Arabidopsis thaliana: one gene and its partners. The protein of the gene in region 1 interacts with the protein of each later gene in a biochemical or structural test. Each region holds a gene or a part of one and is shown on either strand. Other genes may lie near its edges.

Region 1 (10,989 bases):
CTTCTTCTTTGTCGGTTTCCTTGAATGATTCTTCGAACTGAATAATAAATAAACAAAGCATATTGTTAAGTGATCCACATACATGCCTTTAAATCAGAAAGACTAAATGTTACGAAGAAACAATAATACTAACCACACCAACAAGGCCTCTAAATTCACCAACGGCTTCTGTCATTTTGACAACCGCACCTTTCGCAGAAATCAATTCGTAAAGGACAACTCCAAATGCATATACATCTACTTTTGCAGACACTTCTCCATAAACAGTCCTGCATACATACATATATACACCATCACTATAGTGTAGTCTCTAAAGTAGTATATAAGTGTAAACGAGATCAAATTCTTTACTCTGGTGCCATGTAACCAAATGTACCCATTGCACCCCGAGTTGCTGAACCTCCAACTTCTGTCAGTTTTGTTAACCCGAAATCTGCTACCTGTAACACGTAAACGACTCAGAGCGGTGACAAAGGAAAAATCTAACCTTTTCAGTATTTTTCACTTTTGATTGACAAAAGAGAAATCGAGAATGTACCTTTGCTCGGAATTTCTGGTCTATCAAAATATTGGCAGATTTAATGTCCCTATGGACATAAACTGGAACCGTGTGCTCGTGGATATATTCTAAACCTCTAGCTGAGTCTAGTGCAATCTGCACTCTCTTAGTCCACGGTAATGGTTCTCGTCCTAGTTTCACATAAACTCTTTTAGTTTACAACTTTCTCGAAAAATGATTCACTTTTGGAGGTCTTTATATTGCGTACCTGACCCATGTAAATGTTGTCCAAGGTTACCATTCTCAACATATTCATACACCAAGAAAAGTGATCCCTCAACACAATATCCAATCAGGCGAACCTGCAAGAAAAAACAAATTCGTTAAAATTTGGCTAAGACTTGATCTTCATCTGATCTCAGATATTATCTTGAGAGAACACAAAAGGGGTTTACCAGGTTGACATGATGTACACGCGTTAAGACTTTTAGTTCCGCCAAGAACTGTTTCGATGCCTCCATGTCCATCTTCTTAATCGCAGCTTTCTATACAAGAACCGAATAATTTAAATGTTCCATGTGTAGTAGCTTCAAACAAAAAGATATAAAAAGATATCTGCTTACTTCTCCTCTCAGCTCTGCATAGTAAACAGCCCCAAAACCACCTTGCCCAATCTTAAAAGACAAATTGAAATTATCAGTAGCCTTTGCTAGTTCCTCCAACGAAAACTCAACAGATTTGTCCACGCTTATGGCAGCAATGCCAGGAGACACTCCGGCACCACCCAAACCTCCACTTTGGAGACTAGTAGAAGAAGCTAAAAGCAGATTTCATATAAACATAATAAGCAACTCCCAGCTAACAAAAGAGACAAAAACTGCTTGTATATGATCATCACGAAATTACCATGATCAGCCTTAGTAGACAACGGAATAGAAGAAGAAAACGAATCACCCTTCGACTTATTCTTCCGGTAAGCATAATATACGATAAACAAGATCAACAACAAAGCCACAATCACTCCTATAACTATACCAGCAATAACTCCAGCACCAACACCATCTGCTAATACAAAAAAATATCAAAAACATACTCTTCCATGTCTCCTCTTGCTTCGTGCATAATCATCAAAAGCTCAAAAATGGAGAAAAGAACCAACCTTGTTTACTACAAAAAACATAAGAGAAGTAGAAATACATCAGTAAATAGATATCAAAATGAACAAAGATACAATCTTAACAACAACAAAAACAACCTTGATTTGAATGGTGGAAATGCACCATTTGGATCTGCAAAAAACACAGGAACATGTACATAAACTTCAACAATCATTACTACATTTATAACAATTTGTGTCACAAATCATCAAAGATCAATCTTTGTACCTCTTCCAGGCACATAAACGATTCCATTCCCGGAGTTAAAATTAACACCGGGATTATATCTCTGCAGAATATCCGCCGATACACCGGAAGATCTCGCAATAGAACTGAGACTGTCTTCAGGACGAAGCGGATACGTAACAAACAAACCAAAATCTTTCGAAACACTCTCATCACCACAAGAACAATTCACCAATACATTAAGCGTCGCAGAGAGAGGTATGTTAGTCGCCGGAAAAGGATTCCTCGCCTGTAACGACTCCATCGTCGTGAGATTCGCGTAATTACTAATCGCGACTCTTTCGTAAGTATCTTCCTGTCGAACACTGTAGCTGAAATTGTGCCCTAGGAAATCACCAGGTTGACATTCGCAAGGGAAAGGTACAAGAACCCTAGAGCCCATCTGGATTCTATCTTTGTCTTTAATGTTACTGTTGTACCTGAGGATTGGATCGAAATTGATTTGATCGTAAGGCGCGATTGAAGAATTGAGGTTTTGGTTGATGACGGAGAGTGTTGTTCCGTTCTCGAGATAGTACGAAGCTAGAGCTAAAGGACAGCTAGTCCTGCACTTAGATTCCACGGCGAAGAAGAATGAGAAGAGAAGAAGAATCGGAGCGATTAGAGAAATCTTTAGCTTCATTTTGAAGCTTCCTTAGATTCCCCAGAGGAAGGGTCTCTGTTTTTTTTGTTTCGTCGTTGCTCTGTGGGGAAGAAGATGGATTCAAAGACGAAAAAGGTTGACTTAATCAAACGTTGACTATTTTTTTCAACTAAAGAGAATGATGATTACTGATTAGTGTTTGTTAATTGTTGAGAAGTTTCTTAATTAATTAATAATACTAAGATCATTTAATGCAACTAGCAGCTGGAATTTGAAAGTCTTTGGTCAAAGACAAAAACTATGAAGACCGCCATTTCTGTTGAAGGAAGTAGATTTTACGTTCGAATTTTGTATGTTTTTTGTTAAAAATTTATTTTTTTGGATCAAAATATAAAGTTACTTTATAATCGAAAACAATAGAGACTATTTTTTTTTCTTATATAAAATATTTTTCAAAATTCTCACTAATAAGAAATGGGGGTAGATCTTTCACGTTGGTCTTTTAGAGTTGAATTGTTACCCTTCTTCATACATTAATCTGCTTTAACTCTGTGGCGTCGAAAGATACGGGAGAAAAGGGAAACAAACCATTGCCATAACACTATCAACCAAAAAAGGCTCTTTGACTTAGCACCACCTTCATCTTTCCCTTTGAATATTCCTTTGTACATTTCTTTCTGCTTTTGGTACAAGGCTTTCTCTTGCTCTGCAAGTGCTCGTAGCTCTCTTCTAATCGCCTTGTCGTCAGGAGCATACTTTTGTGCCTTTCGGAAATCATCACGTGCTGAGTCCATCTGTCCTAGCTCTGCCTTTGCTTTCCCTCTTCTGAACAGTGCTTTTGGGTTTTTCTCTTCTTCTGTCAACACCTGATAAGGTTTTGAGTTTGATTAGATTTCGAGAAACCGAGTATGAACTTTAATGATTTTCTTCAAATGAATGGTTTGATGAGTCTTACAATGTTGCAGTGACCAATTGCTTCATCGTATCGTTTTAGTTTGATGAGGCAAGCTGCTATGTTAAGATGGCATGGGTTTTTAACTGCTAAAGCCATATCCTGGTACTTCCCATACAGCTGAAACATAAAATCGTCCCCCATGTATGCTATGGCCTGAAACAGCAAAACCATGACTAATCAAAAGCCGAAAGAAGACACAAGAGCCTCGAGCAGACTCACTAAGTATGCCTGAAAACCTAAACTTTGACCGTAATTGTTGGAAAGAGAGATAGAGATAGAGAGAGATGCATAACCATTTCATACTGTTGCATGGCTTCCTCCAGTTTCTCCTCCTTAAAAAGAGAATTCCCATCCATTTTTCTTCTGTCTGCTGCACCAATCCTTTCCTCTACAGTCATATCACTGCGAGCTTTTCCCTGTTCAATACATCATCTAAGTCAGAGAGGTAAGCAAGGAGGTTGGGATAAAGCTTGGATGTGGAGTCGTCTTGGTAAGGAAACAAGATGATGGTATAGGAAATAACTTACCTCCTTTGTTTCATCAAACCCAATAACTTCCACCTCATATAACAAGTCTGCCATAGGTGGAACATTCGGAAAAGAAAAGTTTCCTTCTTTCCCATAAGCTAATTCCCAGCCAACATGCACAAGCGCACGTTCACCAGACTTCATGCTAGCAACACCGATGGCTAAACCGGCTAGTTCTTTTTTCTCTGTCTCACAGACAACATTTCACTCTTAGTGCACAATCTTTTTTATAAAAAAAATTGTATAGTGACGTTAAAATGGGCTAATCAGCATTGAAGCAAAAAAAATACAAAACTCAATCTTTTTTCCTCCCAAATATCCATCTCATTGGGTTCATATAATACACAAGCTAACTCATCAAATTTACCAATGACGATTCATCTAACGAAATGGAGGTGTAGAGTACATATTCGACAGCCACATACCTTTTCCAAGAACCAATTCAATAGGTTGCTGCTCATGCCATGTATCCTCAAATTTGTGCTGCGAGTTTTTGGTCCATGCCCTGTAGTGCACTATGGCCAATATGAAATTGGTCAGATAGAAAGATTCAAATAAACAGTAGCAATAGGCCAACAAGTGCAATCGAAAAATCAACATCCAATCAACAGAAAGCTAAAGGGTACTTACAAAAGCATGTAGAGTACTTGGATGGTTTGGAACCGTGACCTTCCTTTATAATCTGCTTACTGACTTTCTCATCCAAGACCTCAGCTTCACTATCAACTTTAGGAGGAACATTACCCTCTTGAGATGGCTCACTATGCACAACGGCACTTCCTTCAGTAACTATTTCGCTCTCTTGGTCTGGAGCCACAAAAGATGCATTAGTCAACCCCAATAGTCATTCTCAATTCTTAACAAACAGAAAAGGAGTTATCAAGTCTAACAAATTTGTTGTATACATGCTTTGTTCCAAGATTCACAATATGATTTAGAAAGAATAACGCAGTCAACATAATTTGATAGACATTTATCCTTTAACAAAGCATCCAATTGAATATGGGACAACAAAAAAACTCCAATCAAACATATTGAAGTCATATATATGTATTCAGAGAGATTAAATCTATGAAAATTTACTTACCATGTGTTTGAGTTTGATGCTCCAGAGATTCATCCATTATTTCCCAAATCAACCTGGGTCTGAATAAAAATGTGCAAGTGTCAATCCAAAAATTGAATCTTTAAGTGTTGAATTGATTAAACATCGACCAAATCAGACAAGTAAGATTCAATGACAAAAACCCAAAAGAACATAGTCGAAGTCAGCTACTTGAACCATTTCATTTCAAAACAAAATCAAGTCTCGTCGTCAATAATAGCAGAAAACGAAGAAAAAGTTTGTCAATTTAGAGAAGAGGAGAGTGAACTTACGAAGTATGAGAAGCTCAAGAGTAGTGTGACTCGTCGTCGTCGTCGAAGTCACTCACGAAGACTGGATCGACCGAGAGATAAATTTCAGATTTTGATTCTGAAAATATAAAGAGACCCTTCGACTTTTCAGTTTTCACTTCAGAGTCAGCCGTTAACTAACGAGAGTTTTAACGGCGTTTATTATAATTCAGTAAAATAATATCAAATATTCTCAATTTGACCCAAAAGATTATAATTTAAAAAAATAATTATACAGTCGTCTCTCAAGAACCATTTCTATAGTGACCACAAATATTTGTTACAAGTACATAGTAACCTACGAGAGCCTACTACGACCCTGTGGACTCAGAGCTGCTTGTAGTAAGATTGACTGAGGACACAAATCTTGGAACCAGTACTGCCTCGTTGGTTACAACGGTCTTTGAAGTAGCTAAATCTTCTAACCGTTGCCATGTCCTTTCCCGTTTCGCTTTAACCTCTGTTTTATTCACTTCTTCTACTTGGAATTTGGCTAAACACTCGTCGAAAAGAACTTGGTCAATCTCGCATAATACTTTCCTCACGTTTATAGTCAGACTTTGAACTGCTTGGTTCCAATGTCCACGCGTGTTTCTCTCAAGAGCTGGGAAGACTATAGGCATTATCACTTTATGGTTCTGAGTGATCAGGTTTCTTATGTGATCGTTGTTCCATAGAAACAATGCTCTTTCAGCAACCTGACAAACAAAAAGTACAACTTCATATATAGGTACAAGACTTTATCAAGAGAGATAGATATGAAGTTGTGATGATAGTCAAAGACTCGAACCTGGAAATGTGAACTGTTGAGGCATCGAGCAATTTGTCGGGATAATGGAACCATACAACGTTGAAACTCAGCGGCTTGAGTTGCTTCCAAGACTTCTTCTAACTCTCCAAGAAACATAACTTCCTTTGAGCTGTTAGTCACAGGCCAATATTTTAAAAGACCTCTAATAACGGTATCAGCGAGCTTGAAGTCCTTTTCTACAAACTGAACAATGCAATACGAAAGCTGTTGGTGATAGACTGATGAACATTTAGGCTTGTGGAGAGGAATCAAGGCTCGCAAAAGGAAGAGCTTGTGCTCTTCTTTTAAAGGCAAAGCAAAACCATTAATTATACTTCCAAGAATCTCTAGCAACTCCGCAATGCCATTATGCTTTTCAGTCTCGGATATGAATCTGTAGAAGATATTGTTTATCGCCTTTCTGATGTAAGGTCGATGCACCATGAACTTCCCGTACACCCGATGCAGAATAGTTTTTAGATATTCCCTCTCTCTTTGATCTTCAGAATCAAACAAGTCTAAGAGCTTCAAGACAAAAGAATGGTCAATATATCTCTTGGCAAGCTTTGCATCAGTCATGGGAGAAGCCACGAATCTGAGAAGAATCTCATACACAACTTGAACATGAGGCCAAGCTGGCTCCAAAGAAGGTTCTTCATCATCCATATCATGTATTTCAAGAATTTTACTCTCGTGATTCGCAGAAGGAAAAGTTCTAAACAGATTAACCGCTACCATCTTCGTTAACTCTTGCATCGAAACATCGTTAAACTTAAAACCAACTGATGCAACATAATCAACAAGCTCAAGCAATGTCTGCCTCTTAATCTCTTTCTCCTTAAGGTTCTTAGACGGATCACTAAAGTCAAAAACAACACAGCACATACTCAACTTCCCGATAAAGAGATTCGGTTTCTCCGATATAGGAACATCTCTAAAGCTAGGCAAAGCCTCATAAACCCCACCAGAAGACGGAAACGGTCCAGCTTGTACAACAGCATCTCCTCCCAATGGTTTCTTCCCTTGATTAGTATTCCTATTAGAGCTCATTGAGTTAGGAGCAAGAGTTCCATTAGCTACACGCGAACCCGAGGCTGATGATGATTTCGAAGATGTTGAAGAAGGTTTAGAGATACTAGTAGTACTCGAATTCGAAGCATAATAAGAATTATTAACACCTCCTTCACCATTGGAGTCATTCTGCAATGATTTGGAAGGCTTTCTAGGTAATTTCCCAAATATCTGTTTGATCATTTCTAACTATTGGCACAAACCCTTCACTACTATTACTCTCTATAAGAACCAAAGCTAAAAACCAGCTGTGAGTATGTCAAAAAGTCCCGAACTTTATTGTCTAAACAAAACCAGATTTGCCTCTGAATCAAACCCTGAACCCAAAATTACATAACAGAATCAGATCAAGCAAAACAAAATCTAACAAACGAAATAAAAGGAGAAGGGCTTACATTTTTGAGCAGAATTAACCCCGAGAGAGAGGAAATCAGAAGAAAACCCTAAGAAAGTTACAAACTTTAGGCAAGAGGGATCTAGCTGATAAACCCAGGAAAGACAAAAGACCGCTCCTTTCTCGCCCAAATTGAAATCGAGCGAGAGAGAGGAGAAGAAAAGAGAGAAAAAAAAAAGACAACGAAATCCAAAAGAAATATGTAAGAAAGAGAGAACAAAAGAAAAAAAACAAATGTTGAGATTATAAGGTTGTAATGAACAAGAATAGAAGAAAGTAATCGTTTTCTTCTCTCCTTATCCTTCTTTCTCTCTATCTGGATATTTACTGTAAATCTAAATCCATTTAAACACTTAATCGTTTTGCTCTGAATCGAATAACAAACCTGGAACATCCAGATATTTTCTAAAAAAATTTATTGTTTTTTTTTATAAACATCACAGAGACACACACACATAGGTGGAAAGAACAGAAGGAAAAATCAATAAACATGGACACGCACGGTTTGACAGAATGGCAGGTGAGTCAAAAAAGTCAAAACAACCCTGAAAAGTAAACGTTTTACATGGTCGTCAAATAGTAAGTCGTCAATTTTCGTTTAATTCACCAATCCCATTTCATTATGACGCCATCAACGTCCTAATTTGATCAATTAACTTCTATAGTTAAGGAGAGAAACTTGTGTGAGAATAAAAAGTATAAAACTCAACAAGTACGTAAACTGTACTTTTTTCATGATCAAAGACGACTACACAGCGTTTGACCAATAATAATTTCGCTAGTCAAACATAAGACTAGCGAAAAGTCAATAAAAAGTTTATGATGCTATTTTGTAACCATAGAATTGGTCTCTAATGTGCTTAGAAAAGAGCTAGAATTTTTGGACGAGGACAGAGTTGGCGATGCCAGCCTTCTCGATGGTTTGGTCAAAGTCCGACAGTGGTGTAGGAGGAGACCCCATGATGAGTAATTGGTAGTCTTTGGAGCCATCTGGTCTAGACGTGTCTATGAAGCATCGAATGTCTCTAATGGTGTGGTGAGTATTGAACTGGGTGACAATGCGTGTGCTGTCTGCTAATATAAGCTGGATCGAGGTTGTTGGCGCTGCAGGATCCACCACTAATGAGCTCATGGATGGTGGTTGTGTAGTCGTCAATGGTGGCTCAGTAGAGGTAGACTCTGATCCGGCTAGAGTTTGTAACTCCTGTTGTTAAAAATATTAGCTCATTTTAATCAGAGAAGAGAAAAAGATTAGAGAGAGAGGGAAGGAGATCAGTATACACTGAAATTTTCTTCACACTTGATGAGTTTGACTTGAACACGAAGTGGATCGAGTAGTCGTGGGGACTCCAAACTTGTTATCCTCTGGCATATACTTGGAACATTATGTTATCCAAGTGAAACAAGTACAGAGAAAGACCCATAATTGAAAATGACAAGAAGATATTGATATTAGTAACCTCGAGAAAAGCTGCATTTTCTGGATCATCCAAACTCTTAAACGGATCATCATCGACAGTGAAACCGTTCCTCCAAATAGTTACAGTGTACGTGACTACTTCATATGGCTGGTCTTCTTGCTGTTGTTCTTGAAGCTCAGCTGAATCAGTTTCTCCAGACAATACCTTTGATGATTGCTCAGATCTTTCTATAGCTGACTCCTTAGCTCTGTCGAAAAGCGTATCTACATCTTTAGCTTTCGCACAAGCATCCCATTAAAGCTACAACATACATTCAAAAACCTTCTTCTACAAGACTTGCAAAAACCATCAACATCTTTATCCTATACACAAGATCCTTGCAGTATCATGGATTCTTGAACAGCACATTTCTTCAGAGTTTTGAGAAATTAACGATTCATCTCCTTCAGAAAAGCACATTGTCATATAACCTCATTGCTAAAGCTGGTGGTGGCTTAGTTGAGGCAGAGTCTGATCCGGCTTGTGATTCCTGTTGTTAAGATATAAGAATAAGGGCTTTCACTTTACCGGCTTATTTGAATCAGAGAAGAGAGAAGGAGACAAATATACAGTGTAGTTTTCTTCTTCACGGCTAATGATTTTGACTTGAACACGGACTTGACCGAGTTCACGTGGGGACTCCATACTTGATATGATCTGGCATTGTCATGGAACATAATGTTATCTAAAGTAATACAGAGAAAGACCAATACCCTTGTAAGTTGTAACTATACTATGTTGTATGTAACACAACTTGAAAATGGCAAGAAGGTATTGAATTAGTAACCTCAAGAAAGGTTGCATTTTCCGGGTCATCCAACGTCTTTAACGAGCTATCATCGACAGTGAAACCGTTGCTCCAGCTTGTTACAGTGTGCGTAAACACTTTTTGAGGCTCTTCTTCAAGCTCAGATGAAACAGTTTCTTCAGACATTGATCTTGATGATTGCTCAGGTCTTTCTATAGCTCTGTCAAAAATTGCAACAACATATCTGAGGATCTTGCACAAATAATCACTAAAGCTAGCACAAACATTCAAAATATTGCAGAACTGAGACCTTAAGGACTTGCAAAAACCATCACAATCCTGTAATACACAAGATCCTTGAACAGCACAATTTGGACTAACCTATTCTCTTCTCCGCCGTAGTGCTCCACCGCTTCATCGGAATCGCTTCCAGTTCCGCCGGAGAAATCATCGATACGGACATTCCCAGCGCCTTGACGGCGTTTATTCTGCCTAGAAAATGGATTAGCTGCTGCACGTTTTAACGACGGCCACGGTGGTCGTAACTGTAACCGCGACGGAGAGTAACCGGAAGAGCCATCAAACGTAGAAAAAGATGAAGTAGGGATTTTGATTCGTAGATTTGGAAACGAACTTGGATTACGCCGGAGAAGTTCGTCGTTAGGGTTTGGAACATTTGGCTTGGCGGCGTCGGCGGAGACTTCGTTCTTAGTAAAGGTGGAAACAGCAGCATTGAGATTCCATTGATGAGTTTCAAGAAAAGATATAGCTACTTCTCTCGAACAAGATGTTTCTCCGTCGTCTCCGGCGAGTTAACGTCCATCGCAAGATTACGTTTCTTCTCCGATCTTCTTCTCTAAAACCTCTGTTTTATAACTTCAGTATCGACTAAAGAGAACAAAACGCGTCGTTTTGTAGAGTTCTTGAAAGAGCAGGAGAAAAAACTATAGTAACTAAATTTTTAAAAATCTTACAAAAAAAAATACAATCCAAACCATATAGTAATCTTTCTATTTCATACACACAATATACTAAAAATACAAAGACAAAATGAAATCTTCAAAGCAAATAACAAAACCAGAGGTTTTTTTTCTTCTTCTAAATCTGGTTTCAAGGAATGTCCTTAAGCTCAAATTCAGAGCTCTCTTTCTTCGTCACTTCCTT
Region 2 (10,732 bases), on another chromosome or scaffold:
TAACAAGGCAAAACAAACCTTACAAACAGAGCAAAGTTGCGAAACTAAAACAAAGAAGCAGACCAAAACAACCAAAATTTTAAACACAACATCTCGTCAACCACATTACCAGACAAAGGAAAGGCAGAGCTTTACAACAAGCCACTCCGTAGGGGACAAGGAACTTCCAACCAAATGGACAGCGGTGCCACCTATTACGATGAAGACTACCTTACATAGAAGAGTTCCAAGGAATCCATACCGGCGAGAAGAACTAGGCCAAAGACGACAAGTCACACCTACACTCCCGGAAGCGGCGAATCAAAGAATATGATTGTTTAGCGCCTCGAAGAAAACCAGCCAATGAACAGATGAGATCTCGATCAGATCTTTAGAGTAAAGACAAGGAGAGAACCAAATCAATCCGGACCACACCGAAAAACAAAAACGGGAGGAGATCGAACCGGACAGAAACGAAAGCAACCACCAAGCCTGGTAAAAGGCTAAACGAGAATAAGGTTAAAACATGACCGGATCAAGAGGCGCTACTAGCAACAGAGACCAACCCACAAAAACAACATAAGCCATCTAAGAACCATTCAAAAATCCCTACACCACAACGCACATAAACTAAGCAAAAGCAACATAAACTTTACAGCAGAGCAAGAGAGGCATAGCTCCGGCGCTATGGAAGCCACCAGAGCCAGCCAACGCAAACTGAGATCTAGATCTACTTTTAGAGAGAAGGGAGAGGTTTTAAAGAGAGAAGTACCCAAAAAAACTAGTTTAGAATGTTTTTTTTCTTTTTTCTAAGTAGATAGTTTTATTTTTTTGAAATAGATTCCAATATCATTTGGTCTGAATTTCGTGTAGACCAAATCCAGGGTGCCTAAAATTAGTAGTATATGCCATGCATGTGGTCCACACGATCTCACATGTTGGGATTTACCTTTACTTAACTTTACTAATTTTATTAGTGATTAAAGTTTTTATACATCTTGTTTTCAACATAAAAATCAAAACCAAATCTCAAAGAGATCTCATTTTGGCAAGAAAAAAGGATAGGCACATACATATACAATAAGCATGTCTTTTGATTTACACACACTATTCGTTGGAGTTAATTTGTGAGATGAATATTTCTAATTATAATCGGCAGAATAATCATCCGTTTGAATAAATTAGGAGATTAACTATTAGGAGTATAAACAACCATGATTTCTTTATCATAATTACTTTGATATAAAACGATATTTACCAATCAAATTTATAGAAACAATTAACTTATCATTAAAGTTCTTGGTTAATAGTGTATATATATATACATATATATATTGTATTTGAAGCCCTTGTAAAAAGAGAAACGTGAAGACTAAACAAAAGAGAGTCACTGTCTTAATTAATTATTAGATCATTATCATGGTATTTGAAACCCTACTCGTCTAACTCTTGCCAAAGTCCAGAAATATGACAATGGTCACACATGCCATGTGACCATTTTTAGCCGATGATGTGGACCTTCTTTATATTAAGAAATTATTTGGTTAGTTTCCCAATTGATATCAAACAAGTTTCGTGATATGGGTCGAGACTTTTAAACAAAAACAAAACAGAAAAGTTTCATGATATGGATCACTTTTTATAAAGAAAAGTCTACCTATATTTTCTTCTATTCTGCACTACAAAATGGGTAGACATATATACATATGTAGTGTATGTATTTATCTATTATTCTATTAATCATTCTCATTCTCAAAGGTTTGACATGCCCACAGGCCACAACCACAAGCAATCTCACTTGCCATGTTTTTTTTTTCATTTTTTGTTTATATGAGTATAGTAGATAACACTTAAGTGTGTATGCATGTGTATATATTACTTATGTTATTTTACGATATACATGAACACATCTATACGTGTTTGTGTATATGACATATCTAATCAAGCGTCTATGCATGTAACTATTTAAGTATGCAGATATTATGAAAATACATACGTTTAATAAATATGTATTTTCGTTTCTGCATGCATATTCATATATTCATGAGAAACGTATTTAACTATTTATTAAGGCCTTGAATGTTTTGTAGATTTTGTAAGAGTTTTTGGATTTTGTTTTTCAAATACTTATTTTCGTACCAATCAAGATTTTAAAATTTTGATTTCCATACAATTTAGAAAAACTATTTTGTTGTAGTTTTTCATTCATGATTTTAGTTTTTTAGTTTTCCTAAAATTTAGGGAATCTAGTTTTTACTCCATCAACGTTATTTTTCTCAAAAACTAAAAACCAATTTTTTTGAGTTTTAAAAACAAAAATATATTAACAAAAATCTAAAACTAAAATCTAAAATCTAGAAACTAAAATCTAAATCCAAAAACTAAATCGAAAATCAGCATCCATTCAAAGCCTAAAAGTGTAGCGAGATGGAGTAGTTCTTATAAAAAGAAAATCTTATATAAAATATTAATAATTGTTACACTTTCTGCTGCACCTTTTTATGTGGCACCCAACTCTCTTTAACTAATTCGTGGGGCCTTGCTTCTAGCCTTATTGTATATTCCAATTTCAATTGCTTCCACACAAATTGTATTTCCAATAGATATGTTGTGAAAATCTAACTAAGCGTATTTTCCTTCTTTTAGCATCAATTTTGGCTATTGTAAAAAAAAACATCAATTTTGGCTAAAGAAGAAATGCTCATCAAAAGTTCGATCAGTTGGACGTATCTTATAAAAAGTCAAATGTTGTAAAACAAGTTTTTTTTGGTGTAAATGTTAAGAGTTCTAAAACAGGTTGACCGAACCAATTCTAGCAATAATAATAACCCCTAACCATGAAAGACTCATGAAGGATTCATTCACAAAACAAATCCTAACCATAACAACAGCTAATGTTGAAAACAAATATCAATTCATCTTTGATGAGTGGAGTGGAGCCACGTAAATCTTACTGCATGATTCAGCCAACTTCTAGAGTAAAATTATATGGAAGACATCAAATTGGATCATATAGCATCACATGGAAACAAGCATTAGAACATAGCCAGGCCGACTTAAAACAGAGATTTCTTATAATTGGTGTCGTTTATATAAAAAAAAAAATCAATGAACATTTACATTTTCATGGAGTTATTTGCATTTGTCTTTGAAGTATAAACCAAACAAAATTCATTAATTAGTTTTCCAATTTATGTTTGGACCCAAAAGCTGTCGCGTCAGAAAAAAGGACCCACAGTTCCTAAATGTTGCCGCCTGTCCTCCTCACATCCTATGCTTTTATTTATTACACTGTTTTAGTTAATCTCTTCATATCTTTCTTACTCTCTATATGATTCATTGATTCTATCTTTAATATTCTGTTTTTTTAATCACAAGTTAAGGTTTTTGTGACCAATACACATCATCCTCTGTCTAATCGTTACGATTATAAAACTAAAACGGATTGAATCATCATTTAGCTTATTGTTAAAAAAAAGATTCGAGGGAGAAATAATAATTGGAGTAAGGTGGGAACTAGTCCGTACAAAACATGGACCCCACGAAATATATAGTACGTACAAGACACAGAAGTAAGTCATTCCGATGTAGTTTTAGTAATTGGTACAAGATTGGGATATAGTTAAACTAGTTACCAAACACTTGGCTAAGAGAGAGTTTGAGAAGATACAGAAGTAACGGGAACAGTTATTGTCTTTAGGAACCAACGAGGAAGGGAATATCTCTCTGGGTTTATTTAACCATAAGTCCAGAGGTCAGTTCTGTTTTGTCTCTTTGCCAATTTAGCTGGCACAATTACGACTTTGTCCCTCTTCCACCAAACATCTCATGCATTTTTCTCCTTATTTCCTTCTTTTTTCTCCAAACTTCTTTCTCTTAAGTTTCCAAAATACTTAAGAGAATAACTGAATATAGTCACAGTCAAATATGTTAATGTTTGATTCAGATTCTTTAATTTAAAACTAAACCTAGGGACACTTATCTTAACCTAGGGACACATTAATTTTGAAAAACGTGTTCTAAGGTTAGCTAAGGAGAGGGCCATGCAGATATATATGCGCCAAATGAATCATAAGCGGTGGGCATATTTATGTCTGTCCTTTTTATGGCTTATGAAACAAAGTTAAAGCTATATATTGTGCATGAAACTTAGGCTACGTTTCCCCTCTATTTTCCATTCATTTTGAACTCAACATTTGCAAGTGTTAACCACACTTCTTCTAACTGTTGTGATTCGTTTATTCTAGCCATTTCACAGATTGAGGCTAGTATAAGTATTCTAGAGTACATTATATGAATACGTCTCAAACTTTTACTGTATAAACAAAACAGTTTTCCAACCGCGAACAGAGGTTGGATTAGAGCAACTCATGGAAAAGATAAATCGGAGATGAAAAAAGTTGTCACAGTGGTCAATCCACAATGATATGAGAGTAGGACAAGTAGGTTCATTCCCGTATAATTATATAATACAATATGTTATAGTAGCCCAAACATTATAGGAGGTGGAGCTAAAACAAAACAAAAATTAGCGAGAGGAGATCTCCAATTGACAATAATTGAATCAACCAAAACCTAACCTAACATAAAAACAATATCTTGGATTCAAATCCAAAGCTTGGAACGTAACGTAACATGAAGCCACAGAAAGCCAACAACATCCTAGTATATAGGTTGGGTCCCTTCCAGCATTTGTATCATCTTTATTAATGATCATTAGGTATGTTCATAGTCGGTATAAATATATAGGGTCCGCACAAACTGGTACACTTTTTTAATGGCAAACATAGTGGTACGAATTGATAGTAATTAAGTGTGTTTTGGTCAATAGCTAGTTTTTTTGGGGTTTTCAAAGATTATATATCCGTGACCATGAGTTCTCTAGTTCAACTCTCACTCACGAGAAAGACAAATGAAAGAACATACTGTACTAGTTTTTGTCTAAAAGTACTCTTTGATTAACCTTTAGAAAATTGATGTTATCATTAAACAAAAAAAATAGTTTCACTATCTCTTCCTATAACCTTTTTTACGGGCTCATTGAATAATTACATATCTTTTAGTACATTTTGTACCAAGACGATATAACATTACCAATCATCTTGAATTAGCCAGAAACAACAAACTAAAACTGTTTAAGTTTCAGAAACTAATCCATATATAATGTTGAGATTAGTTAGTATTCATAACCTATGGAGTATTAATCTTCAAAATTTTCCTCATGAAATCTGTATTTAGTCATCACTTTTTTAACACAGATGAATCACTAGTCCAATATTTCTCCAAAAAAAGACACAAGAGTCTCGAAATTGTAATCCATATCTGTAATTTTGCACCCCTATAATATGCCTAGAGGAAATAAGAAGAAAAAATAATGGGGAAAAAGAGAAGCTACTGCTACACTTTCAGGCACGTGACAACGTCTCACACGTGTCATATATCTTACGTCATCAAGTCCTCTTTTTCTCTCTTTCACTTTTCTGTTTACCTCTCTCACGCGTTGAAAAGTGCAATCAATCTTACATAATTAACCACAGTAAGAAAAAAAAAAAATGGTCTCTGTAACGTCTTTTTACTGTTATAACCTTACACGCATAAATACCCCTCACCAACTCTCTCTGTCTCGCCTCTCTCTAAAACTCCAACACTTCTCCTTCTTCCATCTCTCTCAAACTTCTGAAAATCTTCTTCTTCTTCTCAATCATAAACCCTAAATCTTCATCTCTTCAGATCAGAAACTAATGTCCATTCAAAGACACCCTGTCCTGTTTCATCTCTGTCATTAGTCTTCTGTTTTCAGATTCCAATTTTTTTTCTTGAATTATCCTCTTAGCCATTTCTTGATTTAACTTCGATTTTCCCGGCGATGTTACGAGAATCAGACGGTGAGATGAGTTTAGGAACAACAAACTCACCGATAAGCAGCGGAACAGAGAGTTGCAGCAGTTTCAGCCGGTTATCATTCGACGCGCCGCCGTCAACTATCCCCGAAGAAGAAAGCTTCCTTTCTCTCAAACCTCACCGATCCTCAGATTTCGCTTACGCAGAGATCCGAAGACGAAAAAAACAAGGCCTAACCTTCCGAGATTTTCGCCTCATGCGTCGTATCGGCGCCGGCGACATCGGAACAGTTTACTTATGCCGTCTAGCCGGAGACGAAGAAGAGAGCCGGAGCTCGTATTTTGCGATGAAAGTTGTGGATAAAGAAGCTCTTGCGTTGAAGAAGAAGATGCATAGAGCAGAGATGGAGAAAACGATTTTGAAAATGCTTGACCATCCATTTTTGCCGACTCTTTACGCTGAGTTTGAAGCCTCACATTTCTCTTGCATCGTTATGGAATATTGCTCCGGTGGTGATTTACACTCTCTCCGTCATAGACAACCTCACCGGCGATTCTCCCTCTCTTCCGCCAGGTAAAAAATATCAAATTTTATTGAATAATTTAATATTATGGACAAAGTCAGATTTTTTTTCAAAAAAAAAAAATTGTGAAAAAAGATTCATCATCATCAATGTATATATATATTTTATAGTTACATGCATTGACTCTGTTCACATTTGTTATCTTGTTCTGCAAGAACAGACCTGTTCTTATCATGTCGGTCTTTTCCAGTTCTTTGAATTGTTATCAAAGAGTCTTTTTCAGCCCATCACAATTTATAAACGTCAATAATTATGATTTTATTAGCTAATGAGTATTTATTTTGTTTTTGGTTACAGATTTTATGCCGCCGAAGTTCTAGTGGCGTTAGAATATCTACACATGTTGGGTATCATCTACAGAGATCTGAAGCCTGAAAATATCTTAGTTAGATCCGACGGTCACATTATGCTCTCTGACTTTGACCTCTCTCTATGCTCCGACTCAATCGCAGCCGTTGAATCTTCCTCGTCTTCGCCGGAGAATCAACAACTCCGTTCACCGCGACGATTCACTCGTCTCGCTAGACTTTTCCAACGAGTCTTGCGGTCTAAAAAGGTTCAGACTTTAGAACCAACCCGTCTCTTTGTTGCTGAACCGGTTACTGCCCGGTCCGGTTCGTTCGTTGGTACGCATGAATACGTGGCACCAGAAGTTGCTTCAGGTGGATCACATGGTAATGCCGTTGACTGGTGGGCCTTTGGAGTGTTTCTCTACGAGATGATATATGGCAAGACTCCGTTCGTTGCGCCGACTAATGACGTCATTCTCCGTAACATTGTGAAAAGACAGTTGAGTTTCCCGACTGATTCGCCGGCGACTATGTTTGAGCTTCATGCGCGGAATTTGATTTCCGGGTTGCTTAACAAAGATCCGACTAAAAGACTTGGGTCACGGCGAGGTGCGGCGGAGGTTAAAGTGCATCCTTTTTTCAAAGGTCTAAACTTTGCGCTCATTCGTACGCTTACTCCGCCGGAGATTCCTTCTTCCGTCGTCAAGAAGCCGATGAAATCGGCGACGTTTAGTGGTAGAAGTAGTAACAAACCAGCGGCGTTCGATTACTTTTGAACGTTTTCTACGGTCGAGATTAGGGCCACGTGTTAGTCTGTTTTAGCTGTACATATTCCCTCGAAGCTGTCCTTTTTTTCGTTCTTTAATTTTTAAAATTTCGTTAATCTGACTTATAAATTAAAAATTTAGGTGACTTTTCATACAATTTGTACAACAAACGGATTAATCTAAAACTAATCTATTTTATAATTATCATTATCAACTCTTCGGAACTTGGGAACATCTATTTACCAGTCTAACGATAGTTAATGTTAAGGCATTATATAGTTGACCAAATTTGGTCAAACATTTCTTACCGGTTTGAATGAACTACTTTTCACCGCAATGGAAAAGAAAACGAATTACTTTATAATAAAACTCGTCACGCCTAGACTTTGTAGTTCGACGGGTATAGAAAAAGAAAAGAAGATTCGTCTTTTGACAATTGTAACACATGAAGTCATATTTGCTCTTTGTTAAATCTCTACGAGTCTTTAGAATGTCAAAAAAGGGAGAAAAAAACGTTATCCATAAGGGTAGGAATCTGCCTTTTTGGATCCGACCAGTTGCATGATCTCTCTTCTGCTTTCGATTCGTTCTCTTCAATTTCAACTTAAGGAGAACAATAAACTATAGACGGCAAGACGAAATTGTTTTCTTGATATAGAGTATCAAACGCATTCCTCTAGTGAATTCGTTTAAGCTTTATATAAAGTGGTGTCATTTTCTTTAATGTGTTAAATCGATTTCATTAATTAGATACATTCACTTGACCACATTTTGGCCCCCGAAAAAAAAAAAAGAACACATCATAGGTTTTAAATGTCATTTTCAGATTATAAAATTACTTTGAAAAACTTATACATAAAATATGGCTACTAAACAAATATTTACATGTTTAGTGGGTTATAACATTATCACAAGACTTTAATACTACAATTTATCTTGGTATCAAAACATACTCCACTTTTTATGCAATAAGAATTTAAGAGCTATGTTTGTAAGGACCAAAGATATCCACATCGAATTGTTAGTTCGTGTATTTAAGAAGGGAACAAATGTAGATGTAATGAATCGGATAATGCATTTTAAAGTGAAGTTAAGCAAGTAGGTAAATAATTCAGCTAAAATTTTTGGGCATGTTTGAAGCATGTCCCCAAGTTCATCCATTGCATAATGTGACAATCTAGAAACTAACAAAAAGCCTTTGGCCTTTGGATTGCGTAAAGAGGATTTGTCTGCAATATTTATTTAAGAAGGGAAGCAAAAATTTAAAGGACAGAGAGATTTAGCGCTAGATGTTTTGTCTATCTTAAGAGTAACAAAAAACAATACATATGTACTTACTTACTTGCTCACATTATATTCACCACGTCGACCGTTAATGAAGTGAGTACGTTGTTCAACCAACCAACCAACATTGCTTGATTTACCGACCGCTTTTATTAATTGTTATACATATGTGTGTATAATATACTTATGTGCCATAGGCGATTGTATTAGTGACTAAGGAGTATAAACAAATGTGTATACATGTACAGGATGTGATAATTATGAGTATAAATATACATAAAAACAATCTCTTTAGCTAGCCTATAAAGTTTTTTTTTTTTTTTTTGTGTGTGCAAAGACTATAGAGATTTTCTATGAATTTTAGAAATCTAGAGAACAACTTGGAAAGGTAAGGAGAATAAAAGAGATTAGCAGTAGAAGTCACAGAAATGGAATGGTTATTCAATAATTAGAGACCCTATAAGCACACCACCGTTAAAATGGTGACAAAATAAATCGCTAGTGAAAAAGAGGGGAGAAACAGAAAAAAACTAAAGCTGAAATGTCAATGATTAGACAATTCAATACAAATTGTTTTGGACAATGCATAGAAGTTTTGTCTCTCCTAAAATGTGTAAACATGGACCACACACAAGATTACCGTCACGTCTTGTGTTGTTAATTATAATTAATTTTACTAATGAGCTTAAAAATAAGTAGATAATGATGATTTTACTGTTTACACTTTGAAAAAGAAAATAAACATTTAAGTCGAAAGTCAAAGTCTTCTTATTGGGAGAGGTGTTTCTTTCGCAGAAACCGAGGTTTGTAACTTGTCATTATTCCTTTCTCACTCGCTTACGTGGACCCAAGAAACTTCCCTTGCAATTAATAAATACTACTCTTTTCAAAATACAATAATTGGATAACTGAATTATGTTTTCTCTTTTCCTTAATTGATTTATATATTGAACCACTTTCACATTATAAATTTCGACATAATTTCAAAAAATATCCATTAATTCACAACGCAATAGTTAACGTTATTTATGTATTTTTTGGCCAAGATGCTAAACGTTGTACAAAGTAGACAAATTATCAAAAGTCCAAGAGAACCGTTTATAGTTTATGTAATTATTTTGGGAATTCTTTTATTTCATGGAAAGCTGAGGAGCAAAACGAAGTGACTCGAACCAACATTGATATAGACGCATACGTATGGCTAATGTTACTTGTAACTTGATATAACTGCAATCGTTTCTACTTTTTCACAAGATTAAAGATTCACATCACCGAGTTTTTCTGCGATAACATGCCACACATACAAATTTTGTTTCTCATACACTTACTAAACACAAATATCAATTGTCACTCACAGCGTACGTGATGATATGAAGAAGAGTTTTCTCAAGGTAGCTATTTATGTTTGTAATGTCAACTAACATGATGCTATTATGACCGAAGCTCTTCCTCAAGATATTTTCATTCTCTATTCAGTCGAATTTCGTCAGTTTCATCACCCTCAAGACATTTCGATTGAATAGCTTGTAATGACGTGTTATAAGCAAGAGTACACATAGTTGCTCGAGGTTGGTAGAGCAACTTAGAACATTGTTAGCTACACTTGTTCAGTGACTAGCACGGAATTGTATATAGAAAACTGCCCACACGTTACTAAATTAATGAAAAATATCCTTTCACACAAATGCTTGTTGATATCTATCTCTGGTCTAGCTTTAAACTTGATATTTGTCTCATTACCACACAAAAACAAGGGAACATAGTAGGTGATCGGGTATATCTATATATATGTACATTAAATAACAATTTTTTGTATCATCGGACCAAGCTTGTGACGGTGAACAATTGAAATGAATGGAGTATAGAATAATTGTGATTAATAATTGAAAACACATAAAATAACATGATTTGTTAGATCTTGATTAATACTATAATAGAAAGAAGAGAAGTGTGACAACACATGGGATGTACCCAACAACACAAGGGAC
Region 3 (10,486 bases), on another chromosome or scaffold:
TCGGTAAGAGAACTCTCTCTTCGGTTGACAGTACCTCCTCCAAACGGTTTAAGGATACATTAGCATTTACCATCTACAAAAGTAAAGCCTGGTCAGCATCTGCAAAAACATTATGACAACGACTGGTCTAGAAAAAGAGGTAGAGATGGAAAATTAAAAGAGCAATCAGAAGCAATCATTACTACTGATGCCACATTATTCAGTACTGGACATGAAAACATGGTTCAAGAAACATTTTAAGGAAATCACCTGAGTTATAATGTTTGGAAGCATGAATAAAGGGAAGCGAAGCACAGAAAATAGAGAGAGTGACGTAAACGCTCTTGCAGGTGTCAGATCTCCTCCAAGCAATGAGAACACACCAAATGAAACAACAGTCACGAGGACAGGAATGCTGTTTAGTATGAACATATTGAACTGCAGAGCAAATAGAAGACCAAGAATGAGTCAGAAACATTAATGCAATATATGTTAAAGATCATGCATGAATGCTGCTACACATGCCCGAAACAACTGAATCAATGTTCAATGAACTAGAAAATAGTACAGAAAATGCCTAAACACATATTGATGGATACCATTCTCAAAATGGTCAAAGGCATTTAAAAAGACGAGCAACTTGGATTTGTCCTTGTATACAATCATACCGTTAGGAGAGCGACAAGTAAATGACCAAGACAACTATGCACATCATGCATACGGTCTATAAAATCAATTAATATAACAGTCACTGCACTCAAGCCATACCGCTGACAGGAGTTGTGCTTTCCGGAACCAAGATAATTCATCATCACGTACAGTTTGAACCTTGGACTGAAAACTGTTTTCCCAAGCGTAACACCTACAGTATTTTGGTTTAGTGAGATAGTTAAACACTGCCACAAACTTCCAACTATGCAAGAAAATAAATATTAGGTTTCAGTCTTCCAAAGTATCGTACTTCACTGTATCCATTGCCGCTAAAACCTCATTCATTAGGCCAATTCTCTTGTCAGTACGCTGCAACCCTTCTTTTGTTAACTTCTGCGTTTTGCTTATAATAACAGTCTGTTTCAACAAAATAAACGAAGAAAATGAATCATTTTCATTGGTGTGAAAAGCAAATGAGAAATAAGCACTCAAAAGAAAAAAAAAACCGACAGCGCAAAGAGAATGGGGAATTATTAAGATATACGAACCTGTATGGGGAACATAAGGACAAGAAACAATGCACCAATGATCGAGGCAACACCCAATTGTTGATAGAGGAGAACCAGTGCTACAATTATACGAAATGGCGCCGACCACATGGTATGAAGTGATTGGCAGATTTGCTGTCACACACAAGAGAAACGTTAGGAAAAAGAACAGCTATCAGCTAGATAAACACTTTGATTTCAAGCAAGAGCTTAGATAAAAGCACTGTTCAAAGGTAACTTTTTTCTACAAATCAAGCGAATTAAAGGTTTATTGGCTAATAAAGGAAAATCAAATCCTACAACGGCAACAAAAGAACAAGGGTGTTGAAAATGTAATCACAACTCTTAGATTTCTAGAATCTTAGAATAAGCTTCAGATTCAGTCGTCAGTTGCAGGAAAAAGACTATCTTGGTAAATTGCATCTAAGACTCATATTTTGAGGTAGATATACAACTATGCAGTGTAAATTTATATCAAGAAACAGACAAGGCTAAAGAGAGTAAAGGTAACAAAGATACACCTGCAGCGACTCAGCATCAGTAGTCATTAAGTTTGTTATTTTTCCTGTTTGAAACTTCTTCCGCCCCTCATTAGTTAGCCTCAAAGATTTTCGGAACACAGCAGCAATCTATTAAGGGAGAATTCATCAGCAGAATGAAGCAATCTATAAGCATCTGCTATAGCTTTCAACAGACATAACAGTACAGGTATTGCATCAAAACATGAGAAGCAGAGCAAAAAGAAAAACTAAGTAGCAAAAGATAATTCATGTGAAACTTTTTCTTACCAGTGCAGACCTAAGCCGGTAACCAACACGCATCACATTTTGGAAATACTGAGCTTCACATAAAACCCCCAATACCTGAAAATGTCAACATCAACATCAAGCGATCAAGGAGTCCATTGGTCAAGTGTCACCTTGACCTACATTAAACAAAACCTTTTCAACATGCAAATGTATTAACAAACAAAAAAAACTAACTCTAAGAGTAGAATCAGGCTATTTCTAATACAATCGAATCGCACAGAGATTACTTTCAGCTTAAGAAAATTAAACTGGTCCTACAATTCGTAGCATCTACTCTAGACCAAAAATACCATGAAGTCCTAGCAAGAAAGAAAAGAATCCAAGGAAAGTAGAGTTTTTGTTTCATATCCTTTGCAGTCCATGCAAGAGAATAATAAAGGCAGCGAAGAAAAAGAGAATTTGTTGCATACCACTCCAACAAAGATTGAGATTGCATAGATGTAACCTATCCACGCTGGTTCATTAAGTTGCATTGACTGCGGAAAGTTAAAGGAGACATTGTGAGATATCGTCAGAACATAATATTCAAAGGATGATAGGATTTTGAATCTATCAAGAACGTTTAAACACTTATTCGAGCCAGTAGGAATATGAATCCATCTCAAAGATCCATGTGAATGGAAAAATTACAAAGCATTGTGTTAAATAGGTTCAAGCACAATGTGCACGGGGTAAAAAGAAGTAAAGGAACAAACCTTTAAGAGCTCATTCAGTAGAAGAGGCCCCACGAACTGTGAACAGTCATTCCCAATCTATGATACAATTTAGATTGAAATGTCAAGATTAAACAGTTACAAAACACACCATTTAGGAAAACTAAGACCTCAGAAGCCATCAATATTATCAAATAGACAAGGAAAAGACTGTTTCAGAATAAAGAATAAAACACAATAAAGAGAACAAAAGTACCTTCCAAAAGCCACCCCACCAAAACCTACAAAATGCAGAAACAGACAGTCCATAAGGATGAAAAGTATCTATGGCAGATTATAACCAGAAAAGTAACACATCTCTTATTCAACTCGACACGCATCAAAACATACTTGAAGTCACAGCCATAACAGATTTCTCAGCTTCTAGTTATTCATAATGCATTTATTATTACAACCAAATGCTTCCTTTTACAAATCACACATCATGTCAAAGCCCAAAAAGATGAAAACACATGACTGTGAAGAAGTTTCTCTTTACCTTCCCCCAAGGCTGTTGTTCAGTGCTCTCAAAAGCCACGGTTTGGGCTTTTCTAGTTCCTTATCCCAGGACTTCTGGAAGCTAAAAAATGAGATAAAAATATGTCACGCAACCATGCCAGTCATAGACAGTATGAGAACAGTTGTTATTTATTAAAATATACCTCCTCATAAGAGTTTCAGTTTTATCCCAAGTGTCCAGATGCCATACATCCTTCTCGGTGAGAGGTCGTTTTGATCCCAGAGTCATCAATGGGTTCAACCATGAGAAGAAGATACCTGTGGGTTGAAAAACAAGGGTAAGAAGGTACATAATAGTCAAAGTTTAACAAATGTTGACGAATATACTATATAAAATGTTGCAGCTTAGTCGAAGTGATGATCACTAAGCAAAAACCTCGGCACAGTCACAAATCATAAGTTCATTTCTAGGGAGAACGGGAGGATAAGTCAAAAAAAAATTTTGAAGAGACTATAGACTACTCTCTGCGGAAACAATTTTAATGACCTACTACGTATTAGCACTCCATAAGAAAATTTACAATTCCAGGGAAATATTTAAGCTCTGCATAAATAACCAACTTAGATAGGTAGTAAGTGCAGAAAAGTGATAAAAGATGCGGTGGCAATTCTCACAATTAAAATAGAAATGCACCTATAAAAACAAAGTAGGGAATGAGAAGTGTAGAGTAACATACTGTCAAATAAATTTGCATGCCTCTCAGGACATATATTTTCTCCTCCAGGAAGCTCTTCATACTCGTAATCCTCGGAATTTTCAGTCCCAACTGGTGTGTAACCAGGGTAAGGGTCCAAATTAGGGAAATACACAAACAAGAGGGTTCCAAATGCAACCTGGATCCAAAAACCATCCTCAACGTCATTATCAAAACAAAGTTGTATCATCTACAGTCTGACTTAGATACAGCACATGGTAAAGAGTAGTTTGGAGAATGCAAAAAGGAGTCTAAAAGTGCAAACCTGAACTGCCACCTCGCTTATGTAAAGATACAGTTTAAAACTGCAAAAAACAAAAAAAAAATGACGCATATAAGTTCATCGTGCCAGACCAGGGAAACAAAATTGCATAAACCATACAGACTGCAAATTTACCAACCTGCCATAGTACTCCTTAACAGAGAGAACAAGATTTAACAACACCATGTCTCCCACAAGAGCATAAATGACAGCGAATCTGACATACCAACGGAGTTCATGGATATACGTTTTAGTTTCCACAACAGTCATGACCAAAGCAGAACCCCAAGCAAAAGCCTCAAGGACCAACATAAACGCCTGCCAAATAAAGCACAAAACAACAGCATCTCTCAGGAAAAAACATACAGAAGGAGAACAACATCAACAAAAACAGCAAAGTGATAACACACCTCATAGGGAGGAAACCCAGCTCCATCCAAATCCAAAACAGAGATCCTCATGACCAATCTAAACAAAGGCTCCGCAGTAGCATAAGCAGCCAAAAGAGCCAGAAAATAGCTAAACCATTTAGACCTCAAGCAGAACTTATCCACTTTGTGATCCTTCGTGATGAGCCACAAGCGATAAAGACACAGAATCAACAGAACCAGATGAGAGATACCAAGCACAAAAGAGTCAATAGCACAAGGCGTGTATGCACCAAACGCATAATCCACAGTTTTAGTCCACACACCATTCGGCACCGGCTTGCAATACCAATCCAACGGCTCAAACCCCATCTTCTTCCTCAATACAATAAAAATCCCCTGCTTCAAAGACTACACATCACAAGAAACTAACAATCCTCGAATCTGCAAGTGAGAAGTATAAATAATGAAACGCATCAGTAACAGAAACACTAAAAGAAAAAGAAATCAATAATTATGTGGCTATGAACTCAATGAAGACAAATGGAGAAAAAAACAAAGAAAAAAAACGATGTGATAGATTATTGAGAAAAAAAAAAAGATGGCAAAAAGCTTTTTATCTTTTTAGTGGAGAGAAAACAGAGACAGAGACAAGCACCAAAAGTTAGCTCCGAAGGCAAAAAACAAAAAAAAAAAAGTTTAAAAGCATAGATTCTCATGGAGAAAACAAAATCATCATCTATAGATAATAAACAAGTTTCCATCCCCATAAAAAAAATCTACAAAAATCACGTAACGAGCACGAAATGGAATTCGATTGATAAGGAGAAAACAAAACCTCACGGAGTCAAAGAGAGGTAAAGAGTGCAAATTCGCCGGAGATTTGGAGGAATCAGGAAGACGATAACGGAATCTTATGAACTCATTTTGTCACACGCTCTCTCTGTGGCAGATTCGAGATTTATAAGGAGATGATGATAAATGGATGCGTCACTGCTTACACTATACGAAGAAATGAAGATCCATATATTTGTATAGAGAAGAGAGAGAGGCCGAAAAGTCAATAACGTTCACAAGTAAAAACAAGAAGCTCTTTTCTCTGTTTATTTTACTCCTTTTTTTACACACAAACAAATGGGTAAATAACTGTAATCTTTTTTCTATATTAGGCAAACTAACTATAAAGTTTGTTATTTCTTTACAAAATATTTATATTATAATTCATTATGTTGCTATTTCTCTCTAAATTCTATCTTTTTTATTTAATAGCTCTATCCAATTTTTAGTATATTTTGAGAAAATAAAAATATATAGGTAATTTAAAAATGAATATCTAGAAAGGAAGTTGGATAATAATATCGTGTCCAAGTTAACAAACATTTTTTTCTTTTGAGAAAAGGATATTAGATTATTCGTCAGGAAAATTCGAATCAAGTATTCTACATATGGTTCAAATCTCTTCTTTGACACTTAGTATTTTTTTAACATTTATTAAACTATCCAATGAAAATCATGTTCTTTAAAAAACACATGATTTTAGTAGATGATCATATCACGACTTTTCCTCATCCTACAACTACAAAGTGATAGTTTTGAACCCGAACAACTGTTACAAATCTTTAAATATATTTAACCAAACAAATGTTATAGAAATATGATTTTGTTCGTTGTTGGTATCTAATATATATAATACATATAAGTAGATTATCAGATTTGATCATTTGAATCTGCAGGATGACACGATAACGATATTGATTAAGCTACAAACCTTGATCAAGTATGATTAAATAATATAAATTAAATTCTAGAGAAATCTAATCGTAAAATAAAACAAAAGAATAAGCTACTTGAATATAACAACAACAAAGATTGAGGAGAGGTATTAGCATAGTTCGATTATGCGATATGTTCTTTTGATTTTTGATGCTCTGTTTTGTAATTAATAAAAACACATCATAAAATGATCACTATAGCAGTAAACAAATAATTAAACTCGCATGGTTGCAAATTGCAATACACATCATAGGATTAGGCTCATTGTAGCAATAAGCATAAACCCTATCTTATTTACAGATAATTTGCTATGACAAAAGTAGATGTTAAAAAAAAAGGACAAAAGTGGAAGTCTTTCGTTTTCTTAAACCATTTTCGCTTTCTCTTTTTGGCAAGGTCTTTTTCGATTCGAATTCTAATGATCAACTCAGACAAATTCTATCATTTTTATTTCCTTAATAAGTAATAATTCCAAACAAAACAAAAAACAGCATTTGTCGGATTCAATTTTAGTTGACTTAATTATTTTTTGGGTTCAATTCATAGATATTCTAAACATTTCAGTTTCAAAATTTAATAGTAATTGGCCAAAAGTTTTAATTTATCGTTGAGAATCTTAGAAACGCTCGACGTCAATCCGTGTTTGATTCCAGATGTTCTGACATGCACTATTTAACTAATTAAACTATACTAAAATAGTACTCATTGATACTCTCATCTCCGGTACTCCCATTAATGACATCGGTCGAATACACACTGAAATCTGTCCAAGGTTTTCTTAACTTTTATTATTGGAAATTTCATGCTTGTTTGCTTCTACGACATGAGAACTTTACTTTAAATAGTATATACTGCCTAGCCTGGTTGGGCTTATCTCGTGTTGCTAAACCACTCGCTACAATACTAATAATCAATACGATTGGATAAATAACTTAAAAAGGTCAATCTGATACAGAATATAAACTAAAAAAAAAAAAAATATAGAGAGAGTTATAGGTTATAGTTAACATCTATATTCAAAAAAACAAAAAAAAAAAATTATAGTTAACATCCTGATAAGTATTGTGTTTATGTCTTTCATCAGTGGCTGAGTGGAGCACTAGAGTAAAGTCGGTAAACCAATAATGGAGGAGGAGACCAGCAATAGTTTGTGTGGCCTGACTATGTTATAGGGTAGGATTTTTTTCTCTCTGTGACACCAAACCAATTATTTCAGAAATATATCTTATTCCAAAGAGAGTTTGGATCAAATGCAAAGATTAGCTTATATGACAACATTTTTTTCTATGACAACATATTATGTGTTTAATTACGTCTACAAGATGTCAAAGAGATTATAAAAAAAAAATGTCAATTTTGGTCTTATATACGATGACCAAATATTAGTTTGGTTGGATACAAGGCCACTAATATTTTTCTACTTATATAAGCTTACGTCAAACTTCTAAACCTAGTGGTATTTCTATTAAACAATGATCTCGGTTCGCATACTTAAGTGATTAAGTAAACGGTCATTCTTTCTTTTTTTTTTTTGAATTTTATGTTAAATTAAACTCAAAAAAGGAGGCCAATGTTGTTACAACAAGTGCTAACGTTAGTTTAAAGAATATAATCTGGAAAACAGAGCGTAAGTTATCTCTCTCTGAAGCCAAACTTGAAACCCTCTATCAAATTTTCTATCACCATTCTGTTTTATGGCCATCAAATGATTTCGAATGTGCTTATCTATCCAACTGATAAGCCGACTTGAAGAATTCGGAGAAGCTCCATGTTTGCGCTCGTTTCGCTCTCGCCATAGAGTGTAAATCATCACCTGCAAAATGCAACGGACTAGGAAACCTGCAATGCGATCCGGCCAGTTGCGTGAGACGTTGTTGATGATGGTTTGCCAGTCCGTGGAAAAACAAGTGTTGTAGATGGTCCCGAGATTCAAGCGCATTGTTACATAGGATACAAGTCGCATCCACCCCCATGTTCCAAAGTGTCATCCTGTCTCCCGTAGAGAGCCTATTGTGAACGGCTAACCACATGCAAAAAGCGTGTTTAGGAATGGCTTGAGCAAACCAAACCCCTTTATACCAAGCCACCTTATTTGAAACTGTGCGAATATGATTCCAAGTATCCTTGGTAGAGAAGATGCTTCGAAACCTATTCTCTTTCCCTTTCCAAAGTGCACAGTCCTCGGCTTGGTTTCGGGAGTTCCAGGACAGAACAAGTCGCTCCTCCACTCTGTTTAAGAAGTTAGCGCGGTGTCTTCTTCTTCTCCGGTTACCCCAAGCTTCTACCACAGTTGCGTGCTTATTTATCCCCAGATCAATGGCTCCTCGATCCCCTGCACTTTCAATCAATCTTCCTAAATCACTCCAATCATCATACCAAAAAGAAGTCTGGGCACCATTGTTTATTTCCACTTTACAAAGAGTCCTCGCTATGTCACGAAACTTAAGGATCTTTCTCCACATCCATGAGCCGAGACTTGTATTTTCCCTTACCGCCCAAAAAAAAACTTTCTTAAGGAGAGAGCTTTGTATCCACTTGACCCACAATGAGTCAGCATGAGATATAATGCGCCAGATTAACTTTAAACAACAAACATCGTTAGCTTCCTTTAGAGATCTTAAACCTAGACCCCCCTCTTCCTTCGGTTTACACACAAACGCCCATGCGATCTTAGCTTTTGATGTATTTAGCTCTCCTCCTGACCATAGATAAGCAGAGCACATCTTATCAATTTCCCTGATACAATCCCGAGGTAGACGGAAAGCTCCCATCCAGAAATTACAAATACTCCAAAGAATCGAGCTGATTAGGTTCAATCTTCCAGTATAAGATAAAAAACGAGCTGACCAAGAACAAATTTTCTGCTTTATGTGATCAATAAGAGGGAGATAATCAGTTGAAGAGAATTGTTTGGTGACTAAAGGGAGTCCCAAATACCGGACTGGGAGAGTGCCCACTGCAAAAGAGAAACGATCAATGACTTCTTGACGAGTTGTGTGAGACAACCCCGCAAGGTAGACTGTTGATTTTTCCATACTTATTTTCAAATCCGAGCACTTAGCGAAAGTGTCAAACACGTCAACGATTCCTTCTATGGACCTCACTTTTCCATCAGATAAGACCATGAGATCATCCGCAAAACTGAGATGAGTTAAACCAATTTGCTTGCATCTTGGATGGTATCCAAATTTACGCTGACCTGCTGCCTTATCTAAAAGTTTAGATAGGACATCCATACTCACAACAAAAAGATATGGTGATAAAGAACATCCCTGCCTCAACCCCCGAGAGCTATATATATAGCAAACGGTCATTCTTATATATAGCAAAGAAGTATACGATCATTCTTATTTAGCAAAGAAGTATACGGTCATTCTATTTGACCTCGGTTCACATACTTAAGTGATTAAGTAAACAGTGATTTCTAGACATTCTATTTGTTAACATGAAAATTCAATTTTTTTGAAAAATAACTTATGCATCAAATCTTCAGACCCAAAAATTCTCTAAAACAAAAACTCAAAATTCCAAAGATCTAACACATATATACCGCTTCTTCCATGCTTCGAACCTATGGACTATTAAAGGGGGATAAATTGCGATACAACATTATAAGATAAACATAAAGACTTGTAAAATCCATTAGATCTCGTTCAGGTGCATGAGAATATTGTTATAAAAATCTACAAATTTTACAAATACAAATAAAAGAGCTTTAGGAACTTCAAATAGCACCAATGTTTTTAAGGCCAAGGACAACTCCTACACCGATGATATGACCAACGGTGCCACAAGCCAAAGTGTCCGCAAGCGTGAACCCGGCCGGGTCACCCGTTTGTAGACCTGAGTCACGTGCCTCCAACCTAAGTCCAGCTGTCGCCTTCCTATTGGCTGATGGCGCAAGTCCGAATCTCCCCGCGAACAACATCAGGGTCGTCGACGTTACCATTATCTAATCAAAGTATAATTAATCATTGCTTAGACTTAATTAGTATTGTCCATTTAATTTTGTTTTATATCTTTAATTACCAGATTTGTTGATGAACCGATGAAGTCACACTTTGCACCCAAAGCTCCATTTCCCTTGCGTCTCATGGGCTGAACACTTGCCTGGGATGACAAAAACACCATTCCAAAACATTCAATAACCTTAGTTTTTGCAAATAATATTACTTTTGCAATGTCATAAA

What was found.
Region 2: the proteins of TWD1 (region 1) and PID form a complex in vitro, tested with the Arabidopsis thaliana proteins (one study listed by BioGRID).
Region 3: the proteins of TWD1 (region 1) and ABCC1 form a complex in vitro, tested with the Arabidopsis thaliana proteins (one study listed by BioGRID).

The regions. Positions count from the first base shown.
Region 1 is NC_003074.8:7,616,007-7,626,995, forward strand, and holds TWD1 (FKBP-type peptidyl-prolyl cis-trans isomerase family protein), read right to left. Parts: upstream 5,472-10,989; 5' UTR 5,345-5,471; intron 5,114-5,344; 5' UTR 5,092-5,113; coding exon 5,055-5,091; intron 4,775-5,054; coding exon 4,598-4,774; intron 4,483-4,597; coding exon 4,393-4,482; intron 4,153-4,392; coding exon 3,968-4,152; intron 3,857-3,967; coding exon 3,734-3,856; intron 3,594-3,733; coding exon 3,441-3,593; intron 3,352-3,440; coding exon 3,019-3,351; 3' UTR 2,845-3,018; downstream 1-2,844. Other genes in the region: CERK1 (chitin elicitor receptor kinase 1), read right to left, coding at 1-37, 134-269, 352-440, 539-690, 768-861, 955-1,044, 1,123-1,316, 1,406-1,561 and 3 more; AT3G21650 (Protein phosphatase 2A regulatory B subunit family protein), read right to left, coding at 5,674-6,060, 6,153-7,406; AT3G21660 (UBX domain-containing protein), read right to left, coding at 8,489-8,821, 8,899-8,982, 9,078-9,285, 9,509-9,567, 9,648-9,734, 9,865-10,045, 10,207-10,532, 10,610-10,648; AT3G21670 (Major facilitator superfamily protein), read right to left, coding at 10,936-10,989. UniProt on the Arabidopsis thaliana protein: PPIases accelerate the folding of proteins. It catalyzes the cis-trans isomerization of proline imidic peptide bonds in oligopeptides.
Region 2 is NC_003071.7:14,586,671-14,597,402, reverse strand, and holds PID (Protein kinase superfamily protein), read left to right. Parts: upstream 1-5,262; 5' UTR 5,263-5,845; coding exon 5,846-6,393; intron 6,394-6,700; coding exon 6,701-7,469; 3' UTR 7,470-7,667; downstream 7,668-10,732. Other genes in the region: AT2G34655 (uncharacterized protein), read right to left, coding at 499-567. UniProt on the Arabidopsis thaliana protein: Serine/threonine-protein kinase involved in the regulation of auxin signaling. Acts as a positive regulator of cellular auxin efflux and regulates organ development by enhancing polar auxin transport.
Region 3 is NC_003070.9:10,722,548-10,733,033, reverse strand, and holds the start of ABCC1 (multidrug resistance-associated protein 1), read right to left. Parts: upstream 5,718-10,486; 5' UTR 5,362-5,717; exon of another isoform or gene 4,968-5,361; 5' UTR 4,896-4,967; coding exon 4,566-4,895; intron 4,474-4,565; coding exon 4,295-4,473; intron 4,199-4,294; coding exon 4,159-4,198; intron 4,033-4,158; coding exon 3,876-4,032; intron 3,457-3,875; coding exon 3,342-3,456; intron 3,260-3,341; coding exon 3,179-3,259; intron 2,922-3,178; coding exon 2,897-2,921; intron 2,740-2,896; coding exon 2,683-2,739; intron 2,464-2,682; coding exon 2,398-2,463; intron 2,042-2,397; coding exon 1,967-2,041; intron 1,808-1,966; coding exon 1,700-1,807; intron 1,314-1,699; coding exon 1,179-1,313; intron 1,048-1,178; coding exon 941-1,047; intron 842-940; coding exon 748-841; intron 418-747; coding exon 250-417; intron 74-249; coding exon 1-73. Other genes in the region: PSAK (photosystem I subunit K), read right to left, coding at 10,021-10,248, 10,326-10,406. UniProt on the Arabidopsis thaliana protein: Pump for glutathione S-conjugates. Mediates the transport of S-(2,4-dinitrophenyl)-glutathione (DNP-GS), GSSG, cyanidin 3-glucoside-GS (C3G-GS) and metolachlor-GS (MOC-GS).